3 linked regions of the Alligator mississippiensis genome follow. The protein of the gene in region 3 purifies or fractionates together with the protein of the main gene of each other region. This does not show direct contact. Links are inferred from orthologs where the notes say so. Each region holds a gene or a part of one and is shown on either strand. Other genes may lie near its edges. The genes, in order: EBNA1BP2, FTSJ3 and SRPK3.

The links.
Region 1: the proteins of SRPK3 (region 3) and EBNA1BP2 purify together in Homo sapiens (affinity purification with mass spectrometry; 3 studies listed by BioGRID and IntAct, with this or other methods). This does not show direct contact. The link is inferred for Alligator mississippiensis from reciprocal best matches to the Homo sapiens genes SRPK3 and EBNA1BP2.
Region 2: the proteins of SRPK3 (region 3) and FTSJ3 purify together in Homo sapiens (affinity purification with mass spectrometry; 3 studies listed by BioGRID and IntAct, with this or other methods). This does not show direct contact. The link is inferred for Alligator mississippiensis from reciprocal best matches to the Homo sapiens genes SRPK3 and FTSJ3.

What each region holds. Positions count from the first base shown.
Region 1 is NC_081828.1:241,451-249,190, forward strand, and holds the start of EBNA1BP2 (probable rRNA-processing protein EBP2), read right to left. Parts: upstream 3,088-7,740; coding exon 2,996-3,087; intron 2,726-2,995; coding exon 2,659-2,725; intron 2,200-2,658; coding exon 2,116-2,199; intron 138-2,115; coding exon 1-137. Other genes in the region: CFAP57 (cilia- and flagella-associated protein 57), read left to right, coding at 3,086-3,401, 3,915-4,231, 5,695-5,981, 6,172-6,379. UniProt on the Homo sapiens protein: Required for the processing of the 27S pre-rRNA.
Region 2 is NC_081827.1:170,095,960-170,103,125, reverse strand, and holds the start of FTSJ3 (pre-rRNA 2'-O-ribose RNA methyltransferase FTSJ3), read left to right. Parts: upstream 1-4,105; 5' UTR 4,106-4,194; intron 4,195-5,454; 5' UTR 5,455-5,544; coding exon 5,545-5,611; intron 5,612-5,952; coding exon 5,953-6,058; intron 6,059-7,068; coding exon 7,069-7,115; intron 7,116-7,166. Other genes in the region: PSMC5 (26S proteasome regulatory subunit 8), read right to left, coding at 145-214, 1,956-2,027, 3,648-3,686.
Region 3 is NC_081831.1:28,600,321-28,607,975, forward strand, and holds the start of SRPK3 (SRSF protein kinase 3), read left to right. Parts: upstream 1-4,583; 5' UTR 4,584-4,633; coding exon 4,634-4,797; intron 4,798-4,889; coding exon 4,890-4,968; intron 4,969-5,943; coding exon of another isoform or gene 5,944-5,950; coding exon 5,951-6,074; intron 6,075-7,443; coding exon 7,444-7,552; intron 7,553-7,655. Other genes in the region: PLXNB3 (plexin-B3), read left to right, coding at 244-413, 1,439-1,599, 2,547-2,697, 3,217-3,281, 3,479-3,554, 3,884-3,955, 4,183-4,287. UniProt on the Homo sapiens protein: Serine/arginine-rich protein-specific kinase which specifically phosphorylates its substrates at serine residues located in regions rich in arginine/serine dipeptides, known as RS domains.

The sequences.
Region 1 (7,740 bases), on a different chromosome or scaffold from region 3:
GGGTCAGGAGAAGCTTTGTCAGGTGTTTGACTCAAGGTGGGACTTGTGAAGTTTGATGCCTGAGCCAGAGTCACATCTAGCCTTTCCACCCACTCGAGGTGCCGCATGAATTCAGACAGGCACTGCTTCAAGCCATCCTGGAAAAGAGAACAAGGTTCTGTTAACAGCAAGACACAAAACAGACACCTCCTTCCTCAGATAGCAAATCTAAATGCTTTTGTCATATGTGGCCCTGCCTTCTGAGGACGTGGCTCAGCCCCTCAGTGCATAATGTTGGCTGCTTCCTCAGGTGATGAGCATCGAGACAGACAAAGAGAGTCTTGTTAAACTTAGATTAAGAAAGCAGGAAAACTACAACAAGAGAGACATAATCAGAGGGGCCAGATTTAGGTTGAAATTTGAACGGGCATATTGTTTTAATAAACTAAGCTCAAGAGAGGTTGCTGTTAAACTGAAGAGTCCAGATACAGGTTGAGAACCCAGCAGAGAAACAGAGACAGGAACCAAATACAGTTCACATGTGATTTAACTGAGGGACAGGGTGATTGTTTTTGACATGTGAGAAAAGAAAGAGCAAGGAAGGAATCTAATAACATCAAGGCAACTTTAGATTGATGAAAGAAGTTAACGCGCAACATGCCCAATACTGTTTTGGGGAACTCAGATATTACCTTTCTAATATTATAAAAGCCCAAGTCTGTCCGTCTGTCTGTCCATAACGCTTTGTTTGCGCTCTGATTAGCTGTTTCTGTCAGCCAATCAGAGTGCTCCAAATGTGGGGGAGGCCACCTGATTCCAAAGCTGCGCCAAGGACCGGACAGAGGGTGGGGGAGCCAGGGCCAGCAGTGCTGGCCTTGGCTCCCCATCCCACTTCCTGCATGAGGCAGAACAGCAGCAGCATGGGCGTTAGGTGGCATGCCAGCCCCCACCCCCATCATTCTTGATGGGCAATTGGCTAGTTAAGAATATAATGGCCATAAAAAGGCAAGCACATGATTCTGTGACAGCTGTGGAAAGCACAAGGGGGAACTGAGGCAGGACTGTATACCAAGTAGCCAGCAACTCTTTTCAACTGATCTGATAAAATAGACTAAGTTTGTCTTGCAACTCTTGTTTCTCTCACCTTCTGAGTGTACATTTTGGAGCAGAGTGGCTCCACTGGCATCTGCCTTTTTCTATTTCTTCCCTTGGTAGCATCTGCTGATCACCTGGGGGTGTATGGGTGTGGTCCCACAGGAAAGGCTGGGTTGCAGGCAGTGGCCCCAGTGACACAAGGTTTCCAACCCCTGATTTAGCTTGTTGTGGAGTTTCTCTTCTGGTAAGATACTAGAAACTAAGTGCAGACAGTGTGTGCGCGCCACACTGATTTAGCACATCCCACAGGCTTCCTCCAGAAAGCATTCTAGCACATCTTACACTGGTGCGAATGAGAGCAGTGCTTCCTAGGCAACTGTATTATGGAGTAACAACATTCACACAGTAATTAGGATGGGCTCCTAATGAAAGCTCATCATCCAATATTCAGTCCCCAGCTAAACAATAACAAGTGTCACATAACAACTTAAAATCAGCAGGTTAGTCCTATGGCAACAATAAAACATTTTCTGCAAAATCTGAAACAAACCCGGTACTCTGCAGACCAGAGCCAAGCTGTGGGACTTAACCTCTTAACATCTAATCCAATCCAGAAAACAGAACCTCTACAGAACCTGTTATAAGCAGAGCTCTAACAATTTGCAAAGGTCCTCGCAGGCCATGAAATACTGAAAGCAGATCTCACCGCTCTACACAAGCAGCTAAAGTCAATGAGCACCTCCGCGCAACGCCAGTGAACACAGTCGATTCACAGCTCAATTTCAGACTAACACAGCTAATCACGTCCATTTGCAGGAGAAGAGGGCTATGGGGCCAGCAGCACCACCTCTACCACAAACACCAGCCTTTGTCACTACACAGCTCTGCAGTGGCTCCCAGAAACATCTCTGAGGCTCCTAATGAACTAAACCTTAAGGGCTTCTCATTTACAATCTCTGACTCCTTTGTGTAACCACAGGCAAGAGCCCAACCTCCCCAGGCAAACGCCTCACACCAAGAGCTGCAAGGCATGGTACTCACCACGTTGTTCAGGGCCTTCTTTTTCCCTTCAAGCACAAGGTTCAGCCCAGGTTTCAGGGCACCCCTGGAAAATGCTTCCTGGAGCTGTAGGGAAGAAGAGTGGTCAGGTCCCCCAGCATCTTAAAAGGAAGGTGGGCTGTGTCCCTTGCCTAGGGTCTGACAATCTGGACAGACCAAAGGACCCTTCAGTCAGCAGTGCTGAGTCCACTCATCCATACAAGTCCACGCCTCTCCGAGCGGGGTGCCAGAGCAAAGACAAGACGTGGGGAGGCCACACACCACACTAACAGCCGAGGCAAAAACACCAGGTGCTAGCGTATTGCAAGCTGCAACGCGGCATGCTCGGTCCCTCTGTCCAGGGCCACACCACAGGCCCCAGCTGAGAACGACTAGGGCACGAGCGAGTCGTGGTGTCCCAGAGCGTTACCACCACTCTTGACTTCCTAGTCTCTGGGGTACTCAGCCTGGGGAACCCCTTGCCCACTTCCTTTCTGGGGCGGCAGGGAGCAATCCTGCACGCACTGCTCAGCACGAGGCGCTTACCTCTCTGTCGGTGACGAGGGATTCCTCCGACTCCGATCCGGACTGATCCTCGAAGTCTGCCATGGCCCTGGGGAGAAGACACGGGGGACGTGCTCTGGCTCGCTCCGCTTCTCACAGCAAGCCCACCCTGGCCCCAGGGGCGGGGCGGGGGAGAGGCCGACAAACTGCCCTCCTGGCCCGAAGACCGAGGCGGGTCCGCGAGGAGCTGGAGCACCGCGCGCAGAGGGTGTGCAGGGCCCCCCCGCGGGGAAGAGCCGCCAAGGCCGCAGCGGCTTCCCCGGGGCGCAAGGCTCGAACACGACGGGAACCCCGGAGTTTAGGCCGCCGCCGCGCTCACCTCGTGCCGCCGCCGCCACTTCCGGCCTGACCCCGCGCGCTGTTTCCCTTCCGGGTCACGCTGCAACCGCGCTTCCGTTGCCCCGTCTCCATGACGACCGGCGCGGCGCGGCAGAGGCCGGGGCTGGCCGGGCGCGATGTCGGCGATCGTGGCGCAGCCGCTGCACGTGTTCGGGCTGCGGCCCGGCGTGGCGAGCAACGTCTGCTTCTTCGACGAGCAGATCATCATCTACCCCGCGGGCAGCGGCTGCGTGCAGTACCACGTGGAGCAGCACTGGCAGAAGCTCATCCCCGGTACCAGCCCGCCCCGCCCCGCCCCGCCCCGGCCGGCAGGGAGGCACGCGGCGCTCGCCGCCGGGCCGTGGCGCAGAGCCGGGCCTGCCGGGGCCGCCCGGGCGGAGCACGCGGTACACGCCGGGAGGCTGCTCCGGGCTGCAGGGACCGCGGCTGAGTCTGCGGCAGCCGCTGACTACCGCCCCCCCCGCCCCCGGTCTGACGCTGTCGGCGGCTCTGAGGGAAGCGCCCCCCGCCAGCCCGGGGCGGGGCGGCTGTGGCTGGCCCAGCCCCGACCCCGACCCCGGCCCCGGCCCGGGCCTGCGATGGGCGGAGGGCGTTGCGTGCGCCGCCGAGCGGGCTGGCCGGGCCCCGGCGCGGGTGCCCGTCTCGGCGGCGGCCTGGGCGCGGCCCTCCCTCGCGGCGGGTTCCCGCGGGGGGCGGGGCTTGCGCTGCAGGACGTGCGTGTTCGAGAAGGGTCGTGACCCCGGGACGTCTGGCTGCCGGGGGGGCAGGGGAAACGCCTCGGAGGCTGGTGGCAGAGGGTCTCGGTCACAAGAGACCTCTGCTTTTCTTTTTACGATTCTCTGCCCCCCGACCTGTTTCGGGCTTTTAACAGTCGCTCTCGTTCCCTTTCTGCTTTCTAGGGTCTGAAAAAAGTCAGGGGATGTTGGCACTGGCCATAAGTCCAAACCGGCGCTACCTGGCCATCTCTGAGATGGTACAAGAGAAGCCTACTATCACTATCTATGAATTGTCATCTGTCCCATGCAAAAAGCGGAAAGTATTGAATTCATTTGATTTCCCTGTTGAGCAATTTCTCAGCCTGGCATTTTCTCCTGATTCTAAGTATCTAGTTGCTCAGACAGGACCCCCTGAATCCAACCTTGCCTACTGGATGTGGGAGAAGCAGAGACTGATGGCAATTGTCAGAGCTGACACCCAGAACAACCCCGTGTACCAGGTAGGGTGCAGGGGAGGCCGGGGCGGAGACAAATCGCTCTGAGAGAACACCTGTTGCAATCAAGCATGATCTTGTAACGGAAACTCCCTTCCCAAGACGTGGGAGGAGAGCAACAATATTTTCCAGAAAAGGATGCATACTAAGATAATTTCCCTGCGGTAATTGAAGCGAGGCAGCATTTTCTCTCCTGAAAGAAATGCTAACATTAAAAAAAATAAGAAAAGCATTAACATTTATTTGAAAGGCAAAGATATTTGGGTGGGGGTTTTTTACTGGCCCAAGTACATGGTCGAGAGAGGTTTTTTTTAGACAGGCTTCCTCATCACTTTGTTTCAAAGCTTGTCTAAAATGCATGAGCATTTACACACACACACACACACACACACACAGGAGAGAGAGACTTGCTGCTTTAAAATTGCTGATTTCTCAAATCTGAAAACAATTATGAGCAAAATTGATTAGGAAAAAATATAAGCATTAAAAAAGGGATAAGTGGGAAACTGACTTCTTCCACTGCAGATTCATTCATACACCTGGTGTATTATATCACATTTTGGGCACTATACTTCAAGAAAGATGTAAATAAATAGGGAAGAGTCCAGAGGAGAGTAACAAAAATGATTAGAGGTATAGAAAACATGATTTACAAGACAAGTTTGGAAGAACAGGAATTATTTATTTCTGGAAAGGGAAAACAGAAGAGAGATTTGATAGCAATCTTCACAAAGGGTTGTTGTAGAAAGGATGATGATCAGTTGCTGTCTAGGACCACTGGGGGCAAAATTCCAATATAATAAAAGGCTCTGTCTCTCTGTCCATAATGTGTTTAGCCAACTGTGCATGCGCTGCCAAGAGGGCAAGCAGCAATTGGCTGCATGGCCTGGGCTGTGCAGGCCTGTTTGCGCTGCTGCTGCAGAAGTCTGGCAGCAGGGAACAGCTTCCCCCCACCCTCCCTGCCTGCGGGTGAAAGAGGGGATCACAGCGGTGCCCACCCCCCCTGCTGCCCAGTCTGGATGCCCCCCAGAACAGCCAGCAGGGACGAGGCGGCAGTGGGGAGGCAGGTTGCTGCAGGCCAGGCGGACCTGGAGCGGCAGGGGGAGGAAATAGGGGTGGGGTAGGACCCCAAGTGGGAGGGGGGAAGGGGGGAGCGAGGACCTCTGGCTGGTCCTCGGCGCATCTTCAGAATCGTGGCGGTGCTCCCCCACGCTTGGAGCACCCTGTTTGGCTGTTTCTGTCAGCCAATCAGAGCACAAAAAAAGCCTTACAGACAGACAGGCAGACAGACAGACTTAGGTTTTTATAATATGAGAATTGCCCTAAAGTCTCTGACATTTTTTTGTCATTCTTGATTTTTATAAGATAATAAAGTTTTTAGGATAGAGATCATGCATTTTTGCTTGTTTGTAAAGTATTGGTATAAGCATAGTTACTGAAAAGTAATTCCTCTCCCTCCTGCTTTCCAGGTGAGCTTCAATCCCCAAGATAACACTCAGATTTGTATCACTGGGAATGGCATTTTTAAACTTTTCAGATATATAGAAGGAGCCTTGAAACAGACTAACTTTCAAAGGGGAGAGCCACAAAACTACTTGTCCCATGCCTGGCTCTCTGAGGAAAGGGTTATAGTTGGCAGTGATATGGGCAAACTCTTTCTTTTTGAATCTGGAGATCTGCGCTGGGAGACAAATATCGAGTGTAAAAAATCTCCCAGTGAAATCGAAAAGGATGAGCTGCCCAAAGACTCTGAGAGGTATGTTTTTGTGATAATTACTGACAGGGTCCAGCCCATGAGTAAAGATCTTTTGCAGCAGGAAGTGATCTATATAGATGTTAACTGGAAAAACCTTTAGCATCAGTGCTTGCCTTCACTGCCCTGCTGGTAATTATGTGCTTCTCTGGTTGCTGCTGAACTATAATTTTCTTTCTTTTTTTTTTCCTAGTCTCCTTGAATTTGTTACTGGCAGTTCCCCAGATCTTGCCAATGAAATGGTCCTTGAAGGTGATGTCCCACAGCAGGTTTCACTGCCTCGTATCTCTGCCATTGCAGTTTATTCCAAAGGCTTTGCATGCTCAGCTGGGTCAGGAGTTGTTCTGCTGTTTGAGAAGATTGAAGATAAAGAAGGTTATAGGGAGATCCGAGAAATACGGGTAGGTAAGAAACTGAGGTTACAGGTCTTAAACAGGCCACAGCTGTTCCATCTGTAAGCTCCTTTGTTTCACGTGTGTTCCACATAAAAGCTCAGCAGGTCTTCCAGCCACTCTACAAATGTCACCTAATCATAGTTCTGTTGAAAGCCTGGCCAGCATTTACATAGGGGGAAGTGACTAGTCCAAAGTGGCATGCAGTGTCAGTGATGGTCATTCTCTTTCAAGGTAACTTCTCTATGTTTCCCTTTGTGCAACTGGCACCCATGGCACTGCTGAAATTCAGACACCTTTTAAGAAATCTGTCTTGGCTCAATGTCTAGTTGGCAGCTGTATCAAGTGGAGTGCCCCAGGGGTCAGTCCTAGGGCTGGTTTTGTTCCATGTCTTCATCAACAACCTGGAAGATGGAATAGAGTGCACCCTCAGCAAGTTTGCAGATGACACCAAGCTGGGGGGAGTAGTAGATACGCTGAAGGGTAGGGCTAGGTTTCAGAGTGACCTAGACAAATTGGAGGATTGGGCCAAAAGAAATCTCATGAGGTTCAACAAGGACAAATACAAAGTCCTGCACTTAGGACAGAACAATCATAGGCACCGGTACAGGCTGGGGACTGACTGGCTGGGCAGCAGCTCTGTAGAAAAGGACCTGGGGGTTACAGTGGACAGTAAACTGAATATGACCCAGCAGTGTGCCCTCGTTGCCAAGAAGGCTAACATCATCCTGGGTTGCATTGGTAGATATGTTGCCAGCAGGGCCCGGGAAGTGATTATTCCCTTCTATTCAGCAGTGGTGAGGCCATATCTGGGGTACTGTGTTCATTTTTGGGCACCCCACTACAAAAAGGATGTGGACAAATTGAAGAGAGTCCAGTGGAGGGCAACAAAAATGGTGAGGAGGTTGAGCGACATGACTTATGAAGAAAGACTGAGGGAACTGGGCTTATTTAAGTTAGAGAAGAGAGGACTGAGGGGGGATTTAATAGGAGCCTTCAACTACCTGAAGGGGGTTTGAAAGAGGATAGAGCTGGATTGTTTTCAGTGGTGTCAGATGATAGAACAAAGAGCAATAGTATAAAGTTACAGCAAGGGAGGTTTAGGTTAGATATTAGGAAGAATTTTCTCACTAGGAGGGTAGTAAAGCACTGGAACAGGCTACCCAGAGAGGTGGTGGAAGCTCCATCCTTGGAGGTTTTTAAAACCAGGCTAGACAAAGCCTTGGCTGGGATGATGTAGTTGGGGCTGGTCCTGCTTTGAGCAGGGGGTTGGACTAGATGTGACCTCCCAAGGTCTCTTCCAACCTTAACTTTCTGTGAGTCTATAGTTGGAACTGCATGGATTCCTACAGTTGAGGATAAGAGGAAGG
Region 2 (7,166 bases), on a different chromosome or scaffold from region 3:
TCCCACAATGCAACAAAACTCTGTGTTGGGTCTCAGTTCACCAGGGATTTCACTTTCAATATTATCAAGTGGGAGACAATGCAGAGAGCCTGGTGGGAGGCAGTTCCCCAGTATCTGGAAAGGGAAAGTCAAAGAAACCCATACCTTTGGCATTCAGCTCATTCCTTTGCGCTTGCAGACGGCGGAGATTCTGGCTCTTCTCATTCACAATCAGCTTTGGAGAGGAAGGACAAGGTATAAGCCTTTACCAGCCCAAAAGAGTCAGCCCTGCTCAGGTGCCTCCACTAGAGCGCAGCAGCTCAGATGATACCGATACCTCCATTGAAGCTGCCAGCAGGAGCCTGTGTGTGACCAGTCTGGACACAAATAGCTCCCCCACAGGAAGAGCAAGTTAAAGGGGTCCTTCTCAGGGTGGATTTGATTTAAATCAAATTGATTTAAATCACTGAGCAGGAAGCCTTGTTTTAATTATTTTCTACAAAAAGTGCCTTCTTGTTTGATGTAGGCTTAATACATATTACAACTCAGAGACAGATGTAGGTTTCATTTTTAGAAGGTACACACTATAAATGTTAAAGCAGTGAATTATTTTGACATTTTTTCAGAAAACTGAATTATGATTTCAAAGCTAATTGAAGCAAATGCCTGTGAAGTCATTGGGAGGTGAACTAATCTCCAATTCACTAGATCATGGATATTTGGGGGATATTTTTGCCACGCTGTATTAGGAAGACATCAAATGAGGGCTGCAGCCATGTTATTAGCTTGGGGCTTTCTTCACTTTCTTCGAGATTTCTTCTCATCTTTGATTCCTTCTCTTTTACAGCCTGACAAGCTTGCTGTCACGATAGGTCTTCCCTGCTACCATACCATTACCTCAATAGATCTCAAATCAGTGGAGAAGCTATACTCCGAAACTTACTCCTCAAGACTTCTGGAATATTCTGCTCAAAATGTTTCTCTTTTGTTTCTATTGCCCCTTTCTCCTTGCATTCATTTCTAGACTCCTCCTCCTTGCCCAGATCTACTCCACCCCCAACAATCGTCTATTCATTTTACTACTTGAAAATTTGCACTTTTAGGGAGAGGTAAGGGCTTGGTTCTGTATACACAAACTTGCAGAGAAACAATAGGGACATGGGTAGGTAATCAGGTCTGTTTCCTCTCATTTCTATATACTGCTGTTAACAAGGATGTTCTCTCATGATCAAAGGCCAAGACAGCAAGCCTTACAAAGAGAGGCGGAGGGACATGGGACTCTACAGCCTGGAGAAAGAAGGCTCAGGGGGAACTTGGCAGCAACCTGTAAGTATATAAGGGGTGTGCACCAGGATCTAGAAGAACAATGGAAACATTGATTTTTACCCACCCTAGGTCCTTCTCAAGGGGAGGCTCCTCAGGTCCAGCACAACGGCTCTTGCACTCTCTGCCCAGCTCTTGCCAGAGCCTTGTCCTGGAAACCAGCCTGGCACAACAGCTGGGAAGGACTCGCCCTAACTTGCAGGCCACAGCCCTTCATGTGCAAGCCACTGGCTTTGGAGGTTTTGGTAGGTCACATCACTGGGGCAGGGACACCTCTGCCAAACAATTCATGGGCACTTGGCTAAGGCCCTTGGATTTGGCCACTCACTACCCTCCCCACCAGCCTGAGGTAGCACTGCTTTGCACTGAACTAGACTACCTTCCTGGACAGCAGGTCAGCTCACTTCAAAGGGTTATTGCCAAGTGGAAACTCCTCCCCCAGGGAGGCGCTCCTGGTGCTGCCTGCTGAGGTGCTGAGGCTGCCTGCTGCCAGGATAGGATAGGAGTGGTCCTGAGCCTCCAGCCCCATTGGCAGGGGGGGAAAGGGGCAGGAGCTGGGCTAGTTGGAAGTGCTATACAAAAAGAGCAGAGGGACAGCAGGGTCCCTGCTGCAGAAAACACGAACTAGTGAAAACATGACCCCTGCAGCTCACCTGCAGCTCCTCGATCTTCGACAGGTAGTACTGGCGGAGGCCTGTCCCTCCTTTGCCTTCATCCATCTCCATCTGCCAGGAAAACATGACAGAACATGCATGTCAGCCCAGGAAAGCACCTCAAACAGCCTGACAGAAAAAGGCCAGACTCACAGCAGGAAGTGGAGAGGTTTGTTCCAAAAAGAGCTGTGCCTGGAGGTGGCAGGTCCCACCACACAGTAACACACCCATGGGACAGATACAGTCTCCGAAACCCTCCCCCAACTGTTCCTCTGCTCCATGTATGCCCAGGTGCCCCCTTTCAAACAGGACACCCCACCTATGTCCAAGTGAGGACCCAATGGCCCTGCCAGCATGTCCATGGGACAGGGGAGAGAGCAGAGCCCGCTAATGCCAGGGTGCTCTCTACCTCCCCCAGGGGACTGTTTTGTCCCTGGCACAGCAGCACAGGGGGAAAGCAAGGCAGGAAAAGTAGCCCCCAGGCCTGGCATCGAACTGGGAAGGGGTTTGGAGGAAGGTGGAAGATGAGGAAAATGGGAAAAGCAGGACGAAGGGAGCATTAGGGGCTTGGGGAAAGGGAGCTTCAGGGCTCCACAGAGTGACAGCTGGAGCAGGCTGCCAGGGCCCCATTTCCTGGCGGGGGCAATTGACAGTCTCAGTGCCAAGGGGATGGAGTTTGCTGCCACAAAGGGGCTACACGCCCTCGCAGGGACATGTCCCACGGTTAAAATATAGTGCTGAACAAAGCAGGCTTGAAGGTGTCATATGCCACAGTGCACCCTAGATCAGTGGTTCTCAACCTTGTTAGACTCCAGGCACCCCTGGGAAAACACCAGCTTGCTTTTCACCCATTTTTGGTAACAGGCAAACAACTGAGCAATTTTTCTACTGGGAAAGAGCTCAGAAAGAGCGCAAATGGGAGGACACGGTTTCCTATGGGAAATCTTTGGGTTTATCTTGTCAATTCTCTTCACACACCTAACAGTGCCTCGTTGCACCCCGACCGGAGCCCAAGGCCCCCCAGGGTGGCGCAGCACCCGGCTGACAATCACTGCCATACATCAGGGCTGTGCAACCCCTGGCCCACAGAGTCACGCCACGCGGCCCGCTGGGCTCCCCACTGCGTGGTGGTGGCGCTGGCAGTGTTAAATGCAGCTCCCCAGCCGCCAAATTCACAGACCCGCGGGCAAGCTGGCCCCGCACACTGGATGGGGCATGTGCATCTGGGTGGGGAGGTGACGGGGTTGAGCACTGCTGCCCTGGGAGGACGTGTGGCTGCTCGGCCCCACTGACCGGGAAGGGAAGGCAGGGCCGGGTCCTACGGGGGGTGGGGGGGGGCCTGAATTGTGCCACGAATGTCACGTCTGTCAGGCCCGCGCGTGCGCCGTGACTGTCCCGTCTGCAGGCCGGGGCCGCGCCGAGCGCTCCGCGAGTGTAACACGCTTGTCGGGCCCGAGCGCGCTACAAACGTGCCGGCTGTCGGGGCCCGAGCGCTAAAAGCGGGACGTCTTCCCGGGAGCCCCGCGGGCCTGGCACGGGGCGGGGGCCGCGCGGTGCTGCCCCTCGCACCGACCGCCCTGACTCAGCACCGCCCGGCCCGGCCCCGCAGCCGCCCGCTCCTCCCCGGCCTCGGGGGCAGGACGCGGCAGCCCCCGCCGTGTTGCGGTGCGGCTCGGCCCTGCGCGGCCTCACCTGCTCAGGCCCGTCCACCGCCATCTTCTCGGCCGGCATTGAAGCAGCTCACTGGAGCGGCAATGAAGGCCCGAGCGGTTGCCCACACCAGAAATGGCCACGGTCCTCACTTCCCTTGCCGCGGTGCGCACGCGCAAAGGGCGAAACATCCGCTTACGCCACTTCCTGTCCGCGAGTGGGCGGGCGCCTGAAAGAAAACACTGAGTGATGCGTTCTCCGGGCGCACATGCGCGGTGGGACAGCTTTGTTGTTGATCGCTCGTCCTGTGCCCGCCGTTCCTTGTCAGCCGCCACCTTGGTAGGGTCTGCTGTAAGGCCTAGACGGAAAGGCAGTCTCCCACTGAGAACCTCAGCCCGCTTTCTGCACACAGGGTGTGCTCCCACTCCGACTTCCCCGCGCGAGGTCGAAGCCGGGCAGCGGCTGGGCGCCACTCTCAAGCTGACGGAGGGAGAAGTTTGTACCGGAAGCGGAAGTGCATCTGATCGCCGGCCTGCCGGCGGAAGCGCAGGGCGCGCACGTGGGAGCTGGGGCTGCTGTCTGGGTGCTGGTGAGTGCGATTGGGACTGGTCAGTCGGGCTCTGAACTTCCCAGTCTCCTGCAGGGTCTGGACTGCCCCAGCCCCGCTGCCTTGAGGCCTGCCCGCCTGGGGTATGGTGCGGTTGGGTGGACTGACCTAGCTGGGGTCGGTGGTCCTGATGCAAGAGGAGAATCCGGGAGGAAGCGGGGAGTGAAGCCGCCTCCCCGCCTTTGAGGTTGTCTGGCAGCTCCCCTGCCATGTCTCTCCTTGGGGTGTGGGGGAAGAGTTGAGGGGCAGGGCGTGGCCGGGGAGCAGCTGGGGGCTGGGGCAGATTATAAGTATAGGGGTAAGGAGAGGCGTTCATAAGGGAAAGGTTTAGTGCTAGAGATGCCATGCCCACATCCTCCGGCTCCAGCAGGCCCGGTTGGCTCTGTCCTGAGGTTTGCTCTGCTGCTCTGAGCTCGGCTTGCTTTCCTTTCTGTTCTGGCCAGTCGGCATCTAGTTCTGACTGTCTGGGGTGTTTGGATAGGGGCTGTGGCCTTGAGGTCCTTTCATGGTTGCCCTGGGTGGCAAGGTTAGCACTATTAGATGCATAAATGTGATTTGCAGGGTAAACCCAGGCATTTTAAGCAGGAACCCATGAGTTAAAACCATTCTTTTCCATTGAAGATGTTCCCAGTTCTTTGCAACAGAATAATTGTTCCAGTATTTCTCTGTAGTAAAAAAAAAAAAAAAAAAAGTGAACACTGAGAGATGGCAATTTTTGAGGGGGCCTTTAGTTTAATGAGAGGTTCCTTCTGTCTAATGACTGCAATACAGGCAGCAGATGGCAAATGAAAGAAGCACCAAGTGGGGTTGGAGGTTTTTTTTACTTTAGCAGCTGGGATGATGTGGTGCCAGCTGTCTTCAGCTGCTAGTGCCATAGGGGACTGGCAGACTCTGCATGGGGTTTCCCTTGGAGTTGGTGGTAAAACGTGAAAGAGACCTGTGTGTATCCTGTTAATGAGTGGTATGATGGTATTCTGTAGTCCTGCTATAAGATTCAGTGCACCTGAAGGTTTCTCATGGTGTGGTTGGGGGTAAGTTTAGCTTCAGGGGCAGGATGTGGGGCTGTGGGTAGAGTGATGTGATTATTCCCTCTCTAATATGTAGTTCAGGCCTGTGCTCCCTTCCCCCCAGCACAGATGAGGTGTTGCAGTGATTGTCCTGCTTCTGAGGTCTTTGGGGCACTCAAAGTCAATATGGGGCTATTTTACCTGTCTTCAGCTGCTGCCTTTCCTTTCTCTGCAGAAGACATTTCCATTGCTTCCTGGCACTGGTCACAGGGATCACCCTGTATCCCTGAGGTGAGCCCCGGCACAAACTCATTCACCCACCAACATGGGCAAGAAAGGCAAAGTTGGGAAGAGCCGACGGGACAAGTTCTACCATCTGGCAAAGGAAACTGGTGAGTGGGGATAGGAAGCTGGCCCTGTCTGTCTGTGGAGTTGTGCTGGTGGATCTCCCTTGGCATGACTGCCCACCAGGACCTCTGCGTTTCCTTGGTGGCAGGCCAGGTCAGGCCATGGCCCCCTGCCTGCCTGCCCAAGTCACTGTTACTTCCATGTTGGCCATCTTTTTGTACTCCTTGTGCCTGCAGTGCGGTGGCTGCTTCAGAGTAAGCAATGGGCACTGATTGACCTCTCCTACCCCTTGTTGCTGCAGAGTGTCTGATTGGGATATCCCAGGCTCTTGGGAGGGCTCTGATTTTTTTTTTTTTTTTCCCCCCCCCACCCTTTCTTCCTTTAGGGTTTCGCTCCCGATCCTCTTTCAAGCTGATTCAGCTCAACCGGAAGTTCCAGTTCCTGCAGAAAGCCCGGGCACTGGTGGACTTGTGTGCAGCCCCTGGGGGATGGTGAGTGAGAGGGCCCCCCTGTTTGCCACTGGATTGTGAGATACAGGAGTGTCCTGGCTAGCTGGTGGGAACTACAGCCAGCTTGCTCACATCCAAGCCCCAGGCTGATCAGGGTCCTGGAAAAACCCAGAGCCTGGCCCACATGGTTCTTGGTCCAAACTATCTGTGCTCAGGTTGATTTGCAGCCCTGACTGCCTGAGAATCTGGGCAACCAAGTCATGAGCAGAAATTGAGTGGCTCATTGTTCTCTAGGCAGGAACAAGCCTTGTCCATTCCCCTGACTTGCAAACAGCTTTGTGCGTTTGCAGCCTGCTGGCAGGTTCAAAGTACCGATGGACATGGGTTGTAGCCTACAGTTAGGGGACTTCCCTGGCAAGTCTTAGCTCAGTACTGCCTCTGGCTCAGACTACAAGGGAGCTGGAGATGTCATGCCCAGGGTGCCTCAGCAAGCTGCTTGGAGAGGTCAGCTCCAAGAGCAGTTAGTCGCTGGCAAGCTGTGGGCTTTTTGGAATCCTAGCCTGTACTGGGAGGCACTGGTCCAGGTGGCCCCTGTGCACTCTGCAGTAATGCCTGTTCGCACAGTGTTCCCAAAGGTGGAGGCCTTGTCTCCCTGTGGCTCTGCACATGTGCAGCCCCTCTGGAACAACTTGTCTTCAGCCAAAGTAGTATGGTTTGGAGTGGCATCACCTTGCAGTGAACAGCGGTTCCCTGCTGGGATCTGTTCTCTGTCATGGACATTCAGTTTGTCCTATGCCAGCCAGTGAAGGGTGACACTTGGGAGCCCCTCTGGGCCTTATGCCCTTCTTAGCCACTGGGAATGTAGCTCCATTTCCTTTTCTGAGAGGTGTGTGCTCAGACAGGCCCTCCTGGGTGGGGGTCACAGGGTGTGTGCTGGGTGCTGAAGTTAATTACATGCAGCTCATCTTCTTTGAGATGGAGGGTGAGAAGAGCCTTCATGCAGCAGGTTATGGTACCAAGTGAGGCTTTCTGACCCTTTCTGCTCTCCACAGGCTGCAAGTGGCCTCCAAATTTATGCCAGTTTCCAGCCTCATTATCGGTGAGTGATGTGGGGGAGCCTGTGTACTGGCTTGGGGGGGGGAAGCAGGGG
Region 3 (7,655 bases):
TAGACCAATAGGGAGCTGTGGGGGGAAGAGGTCTTGGACTGAATCAATGGGAATGTTCAGGAGATCCAGGAATGAACCAATGGAATGTGGGGAGAAGTTCTAGACTGAACTAATGGGGAGAAGTGGGGGATTTTCAGGATTGAACCAATGGGATGTTGCGCGGGGGGGGGGGCCTGGACTGAGTCAAGGGAGTTCCCAGGGGAGGGAAGTCTGGGGTGTTGCTCAGGCCCCTCTCCCCCCCAGATGCACCGACACTGGAAGATGGTGAGGAGGGGGGTATCCACCTCTGGCACCTAGAGAAGCCCCCAGAGGAGCTGGAGGGGCCTGGGCAGGTGGCACGACATGGGAGTCGGGAACGGGAGGGGGCCACGGCTATCCCTGAGATCTACCTCACCCGCCTACTCTCTACCAAGGTGAGGGATCCCTCCCCCATGGGGACTTAGCACCCCCACAAAACTCCTCTACCCTCCCAGGAACCTCTAGACTCCCCTTGCAGCCAAAATGAAGCTTCAACCCCTCAGGAACTTCCAGACCCCCACTTCACCTCAAAACCTGCCATGTCCCCTCAAAGATCTGCTTCATCAATCTGCCCTCTTGCAAGGTTAGGGACACCCTAGGGGACCCCTGTATCTCCAACCACCCCTCCACCTCCCAGAACCCTCAGACCCGCCTTGCATCCCCTAAGAGCCCCCAAACCCCCACATCCCAAAATCAGCCCTTCACCCCCCCAGCAACCTCCCAAATTCCCTTGCACTCCTCTAACAACCCCACACCCATAAACCAACTCTCTAACCCCCAGACTTCTGCTGCACCCCAAATCCCACCATAACCACTCCCAAGATCTACACCAAGTCTGCTCTTCTCCAAGATGAGGGCCCCCCCCCCCAAACTGCTCCTCTCCCCCCCAGGGCTCCCCAGATTCCCCTGTATCCCAAAACCCACCATAGCCACCCTAAATCTTAGTTGTGGGCTCTCTACTAAAGTGGGGGATCCTCAGGGGACCCCCTGCACCCCAGAGCCTACCACAGCTACCCCTAAGGTCTAGCTCATCCTCCTGCTCTTGGGTTCTCTGTGAGGAGAGTGGGCCTGGAGAGTGAGCAAGGGGGGCTGGGAGCTCAGGTACCTGTGCTCTCTAGGCAGGGGCTGGATCAGAGAACAGGGTCTCAGATGCCTAGGTTCTCTGGATGGGGCCTGGGTGAGGGGAAAGGATCCCAGGTGCCTAGGTTCTCTGGGAGGGGAATTGGGGCTGCCAGGTGAGCTGGGAGCCTGGATTCTCTGGGAGGGTGCTGGGAGCCTGGACACCTGCATTTTCTGGGGGCTGGGAGCCAGGCACCTTGGTTCTCTCCCTGCACGCTGCTGCCCTCCACAGAATGGGATCCATGGCGGGAAGGAGGGTTGTTTCAGGAGGCAGAGAGGTGCTGACTGCCCCCACCCACAGGGCATGCTTCACCCATTTGTGGAGGGGGCACTGCGGGTTATCCTGCCAGTTGGGTGCCCCCCACCCCTGCCTGTCAAGTTCCTCTTTGACCTGCTGGATGAGCTGGCAGCACGGCATGGCCTGGCTGAGCCTGACACCCTGCGCAGCTGGAAGAACAACAGGTGGGTGGGATGGATCTGGGGGATGCATGGGGCAGATCTTGCTGGGGCATGGGGGCTCTGAGGAGGGCAGGAGTGGGGAGTATCAGTGGGAATGGGGGATCCTAGAAAGGCAGAACTGGGAGTGGGTGAGAGGGTATGGGGCAGGTCCTGGTCACTCCCCAGAGCCTGAAAGAGCATGTTGAGGGGGTATTAGGGGTCATGGCTGGTTTTGAGGGTGCAGAACTGGGGGAGCAGGAGGGTATGGAAGGTCCTGGTCTCCAGACCCTGGAGAGCATGTGGGGAGGGGGCTTCAGGGGGCATGGGGGCCCTGAGCAGAGCAGAACTGGGGCAGGGGGCGCACTTTGGGACCCGGGGGTAGATCTGGAGGAGATGGCATGGGGGAGGCTTGTGGGGGCAAAATAGGTAGTAGGTCATGTGTGGGTCTGGCCACGCTCTGAAGCATGTGGGAGAACATGGGGGGGGCTAGAAGTGGGGGAGTGGAGAGCTTTTAGGGACATGGGGACTCTGTCCTGAGGAGGTAAATGTGGAGAGCCTGGAAGATGGGGGGGGGGCAGGCAGGAGGTATGGGGGGACCCCAGGGGGCAGAAGTGGGAAGGTGGGAGAATGGGGGGTGGCCACACTCTACAGCCTAGGCAGCTGGGAAATGAGGTGGGGGCAAGGGGAGGGGATCCAGAAGCTGGGACTGGTGGGGAGCACACAGGGGCAGGGTCACAAGGGGTGGGGTCTGACTACACTCCTGACCCCTTCCCTGCCTCTGACCCTGTTACAGGCAGCAGGGGTCCGCATGTGGGGTGGGGCCTGGCCATGGCCCCACCCCATCCCTGCCCCTCCAGCCTGACATAGGCTCTTGCTACTTGTGGCTATGCCCCCTCTTGACTCCCGGCCACCCAGCAGCCTACTGGGGGCTGTTCAGAGGGTGTGGCCTGCTCTGACCTTACCCCCTGCAGTCTGCTGCTGCGGTTCTGGGTGCGGGTCGTACGTGACCCACGGATGCTGCTGGACGTGCGTGTCCCGCCAAGCGTCGATGCGAGTCTCGGGGTCGTGGCCCAGACGCTTATGGATGCCTGCGCTGCTCCCGCCCAGCACCAAGTGGGACGGGTGAGGACCCAGGCGTCTGGGGCCACCCTCCCTCCCCAACCCGCCCAAGGACCCAGTGGTGCTTCCAGCCTGTCCAAGAGGCCCAGGAATCCAGGGCCAATCTCCACAGCGACCCAGGCATTCAGGACCTGGTCCTTCCAAAGGAAGCCAGGTGTCCGGGATGCTTCCAACCTCTCCACCAGATCCCGGCGATTGCGGCCACTTCCATCCCCACTATTTGCCCCACCCCACTCAGGGACCCAGGTGTCCAGGATGTGACACCCCCCTCCTCCCCCAAAGGGGCCCAGACATCCGAGACTGACCCCTGCCACAAAGGAGGGACCCAGGCATCCAGGACATGCCTCCAATTCCCTCCCCTACTGTCTGGCCCTGGCTCCTGCCCCACAGCGCCCCCCACCCCACAACAGGGCCCTAGGTGTCCAGACCTGATCTCTGTCATATAGGAGAAACCCGGACGTCTGGGACATGCCTCCCAGTCACCCAGGTATCCTTCCCCCCTTTACACCCTCCCCCTCCCAGGACTCCCCTGTGAACAAGCTGCTCTATGCCCGTGAGATTCCACGGTATCGAGAGCTCGTGGACAGGTGAGTGCCCCCAGAGACCTGGGTCCCCTGTGAAGATGCCTGAGTGTGGTGGGGGGCCTGAGGGCCAGGATTGCCTGGGTTCCACCCCAGCTGTAAAAGAGCAGGGAGTTTGGGAGGGGAGACTGGAGCCAGGGCTTTCTGTGGGAAGGGGGGCTGGGAGCCCAGACACCTGGGTTCTCTTACGCCATCCCCACCAGGTACTATGCCGAGGTTCGCCAGGCTCCACCAGTCACGTACCAGGAGATGAACGCAGCACTGACCAAAATGTCTCAAGTATGGATGCCCCAGCATCCTCCTAAACCCTGTATTACTGCTCCTTGGGTTCTCTCAACACCCTTCCTCCCCACACCCTCCCCAAAATACCCCCACCCCTGGAACCCTCAAACCCCCTGGCATCTCCCTACCCTGCCATTGGTCCCTGGGGGCCACCAACCTCCCAGGCACCCTCTGACCCTAGCTGGGGCTTCTGCCCCAAAGCGCCCCCCACCCAGCACAGCACGGATGCCTGGGTTCTCTGTCTGCCAAGGGAGGGGTCTGGGGGGGGGGGGTGTTGTGGGCGACTCCCGAACGTCTGAGCTCCATTCCTTCCTCCCACATTGCAGCTGTCGGTGGATCTGGACTGCTCGGGGGCGCTGCTAGAGCTGTACGAGTACGTGCGCCTGTGCCACGACCAGGTACCCGGGTGCCTGGGTTCCAGGAGGGAGTTTGGGAGCCCGGGGCCTGGACTGTTGGGTTCTCCATTCAAACTAGGAGTCCTGGAAGCTTGGGCTCTGCGGCAGGAAAAGGGAGAGCCCGGACGCCTGGGTTCCTTGGAGCGGTGGAGCAGGGGGGTGGGAGCCCGGGTGCCTGGGGTCTCCGGGAGGAGAGCGGGGCCCTGATCCCTGCCTCTGTCCCTCCACAGCTGGTGGCAGCGCTGGAGGCGGAGCCGGCGGGGCAGAAGCAGCAGCTCGGGGCGCGGCTGCAGCAGGCGGCCGCGCTGCTGGACAACAAGGTCACGGACCTATGAGCCCGCCCCTAGTGCCTGATGTTACCGGGCAGCCCCTCCCCCTCGGGGGTGTCTAACCCACACTAACCTGGGGCGGCGAGCCGAGCCCCCCCAGCCTGGGATGGGGGCGAGTTATATGACGTAGAATAAAGAATACTCCTGATTGGACCCAGCGGCTGCGACTCGTCCATTAGGGAAAGGTGGGGGGTATCATGGAAGTGGGGGGCGGGGCTGAAGGGGAGATTGCCCTTGATTATGGGGGTTCCCACGCGTAATATGGGGAGGGCTGTTTCCTCCTCTCTCCCTCCACCCGAAACTTGGGCGGAGGTGTTTTATGAGGGACTAGCCCCGCCAGCCCGCGTTCGCCATGCCCATCACCCCTAACCCCGCCCTCGTTTCAGTACCCCTCCTCCCCGCCTATCCCGGGCCGGTCTTCGCTGTTTCCCTCCCCATGGTGGGGGCAGCGCATGCGCAGACTCTCCGGACGGCCCCAGCAGAACGTTGGGGGGGGTACCATGAGCAGCAAGAAGGGTAAGCGCGGGGGAGAGGGAAGCAGAAGGTGGGGCAGGGGGGTCTCCCCAGCTTGGGACACCCCCCCCCAAACCTGCCCCTGCCCCCCCCAGGTGCAGGCAGTGCCCAGGGCAAGAAGGGGAAGAAGCGGCACAAGAAGGAAAAAGGGGCAAAGGGGGCAGCGCTCCCAGGGTGAGTGGGGCGGGGGGCTGCAGGTCAGGAGTGAGGGGCACAATGGGGAAAGGCAGCTGGCTCGGGAGTGGGGGAGAGGTTGCATATAACAGGGGGACCCCTGTACCCCCTTCTAGCCCGGTGTGGGGGGGTAGCCCCTTCAGCTTTTGAGGGGTTCCTGGGTCCCCTCCCCCTCACACACATTCCTGAGCTGCCTTCTGCAGCAGCTGCCCCAGCCCAGGGTTATTTTTAACCCCTGACGCAGGTGGGGGGTGAGGTGATGGCTATATCGGGATGTGGGCATCTCAGCATGCACTGCGACTCTGCTTCTGCCCAGGTGTGGTGGGCGGAAGACCCCCATTATACCCGACCTACCCCAGACTCAACTCCATGCTGGGGTTCTGTGTTCTATTTGGCTGTGTCCCCCAGATTCAGCTGCATTGAGAGATCCCTGTTATACCCAGTTGTTCCTGACCCCACACAGCTGTAGCGAGGGGTCCTTGTTATACCCTGGTCTGCTCAGTCTTATCTGGGTCAAGAGACTCCTATTATACCCACCCATGTCCCCCATGCCAGACAACTGCCTCCAGGTCTCCCTGTTATATAGTTGGCCATACCCCCATGATCAGCTGCATGGAGAGACCCCTGTTAAGCCCAGCTGTGGCCCCCTACAGACTCCACTGCATCCTGGTCCCTGTTGTATACAGCAATGCTCAGACTCGGCTGCATTGAGAAACCCCTGTTATACTCACCTAGACAAGCTCGAGACTCAACTTCACTGAAAGGTCCCTGTTATATCCAGTCCAGTCACACCCCAGACTCAGCAGCATCCAGGTCTCTATTATACTTGGTTGCGCTGGCCCCCCAGACTCAGCTGCATGGACAGACCCCTCCCTGATACTCAGTGCATATGGGTCCCTGTTATATCTAGCTCTGCTCCCCACCCCTGGGTGCCCATGTTAGAGTCTGGTCTCTCACCCCTTCCCTCCTCCCCAGCACACAGGAGCCAGCACCGAAGCCGCGTGGCACCACTCCACCCTGGGCCCCACCCCTCCCATGCCTGGTGGGGGCAGGGCCTCTGGGCTCAGATGATGAGGAACAGGAGGACCCCGCAGACTACTGCAGAGGTGGAGGGGTGGGGGGGGGTATCACTGTGCCCAGAGGGGGCCTGAGGTGGGAAGTGCCCAGTTGGGAGGAGAAATATGGGGCAGGGAGGAACCACTGTGATGGTGAGGATATGGGGTGGGCTGTACCATGTTTATAAGGGAGAGGAAAAGCTGGGAGATAACAGTGTGTGTGTGTGGGGGAGGGGGGAGAGTTGGCACCAAGTGTGCTGTACCATGGGGGAATGTGGCAGGGGGGCTGGGAGGTACCACTATGGTTGTGGGAGGGGGAAAATTGGGGTATTGGGATGTTCCACTGTGATTGTGTGGGGGATGGGTGGAGTACAGGGATCTGGGTTTTCCATTTCCCACAGAAAAATGGAGAAAACCACAGATTTCCTCTTTTCATCAGAGAAAATATGGATTTCTCCTTTTAGCAGAGGAACTGGTGGATTCCCTGCTTTTGCGAACAGCTCTGCAGACTGGCTGAGCTCCAGCCTGCAAAAGCTGTTTGCAAACAGGGTGGGAAACCCCCAGCCCTGCCCAGAGGGGGAGGGGGAAGGGCGGGGCCTGAGGCGCTCAGCCTGCCAGGGCTCTGCTCTGCTCAGTTCAGTCTCACTTTTCTAGAGCCTGTGTGGTAAGTGGGTCTTGCAAGGGATTGGGGGCCCCTCTGGCAGGACAGGGGTGGGGAGGGGGTTGCAGGTCATGGCTGGGGGCCCTGGCGGGGCTGGAGGGAGCCAGGAGCCAGGCCCGCCCACACCCAAGCAGGCAGAGCAGTGGGAGAGCTGGCTCCATGCTGCTTTTGCTGCAGCTGCCTGCTGTTGGGGGCAGGGAGCTGCAGACTTGGTTCCCTGGCCTCATAGCCCTGGCATTTGTGGGCCCCTCCCGCAGGGCTGGCGGGGCAAGAAGCACGAGTAAGGTGGGGGGGCTGTTGTGGGGGAAGTGAGGGGCACTGGTAGTATTGGGGGGCTTTGGGGGCAGTGAGGAGCACCAGCAGGGCTGGGGGGGGTGCTGCAGGGGGCTTTGGGGGATTACGGTAATGGATTTTGGGGTTTTTGTCAGAGAATATGCAATTTTTTTTATAAGAGAAGACCAGGGTCTCTCATATAACTGGGCTGTAGAGAGCAGAGAAAGACGGGAGATACCAATATTCCTATGGGGTAGACTGGGCTGTGCCACTTCAAGCAGTGGGGGGGTTATAGCATAGGAATTGGGGTGGAGGGTTTGGAGGGTGCTGTACTATGAGGATGAAGGGGGGCATGGCACAGGACAGGTGGATGCAGCCACATGCAGTGGCTGGCAGTTAGGGGGGGGTGTGGAATACAGCCCAGATTGTACTACTACTCAGCTGGGGAGGGGTGTCAGTCATCCCCCCCCACCCCATGCCCCCCAGGCGGGTACTACCCGGTGCAGATAGGGGACCTGTTCCATGGTCGCTACCATGTGGTGCGCAAGCTGGGCTGGGGCCACTTCTCCACCGTCTGGCTCTGCTGGGATATCCGGTGAGCAGGGCTGGGGGTGGAGCCTAGAGAATGGGTGGGGCTATGGGGGCCTGGGTGGTGGGCGAAGTGAACTCTAGGCTGGGGATGGAGGCTGAAGAGGGGG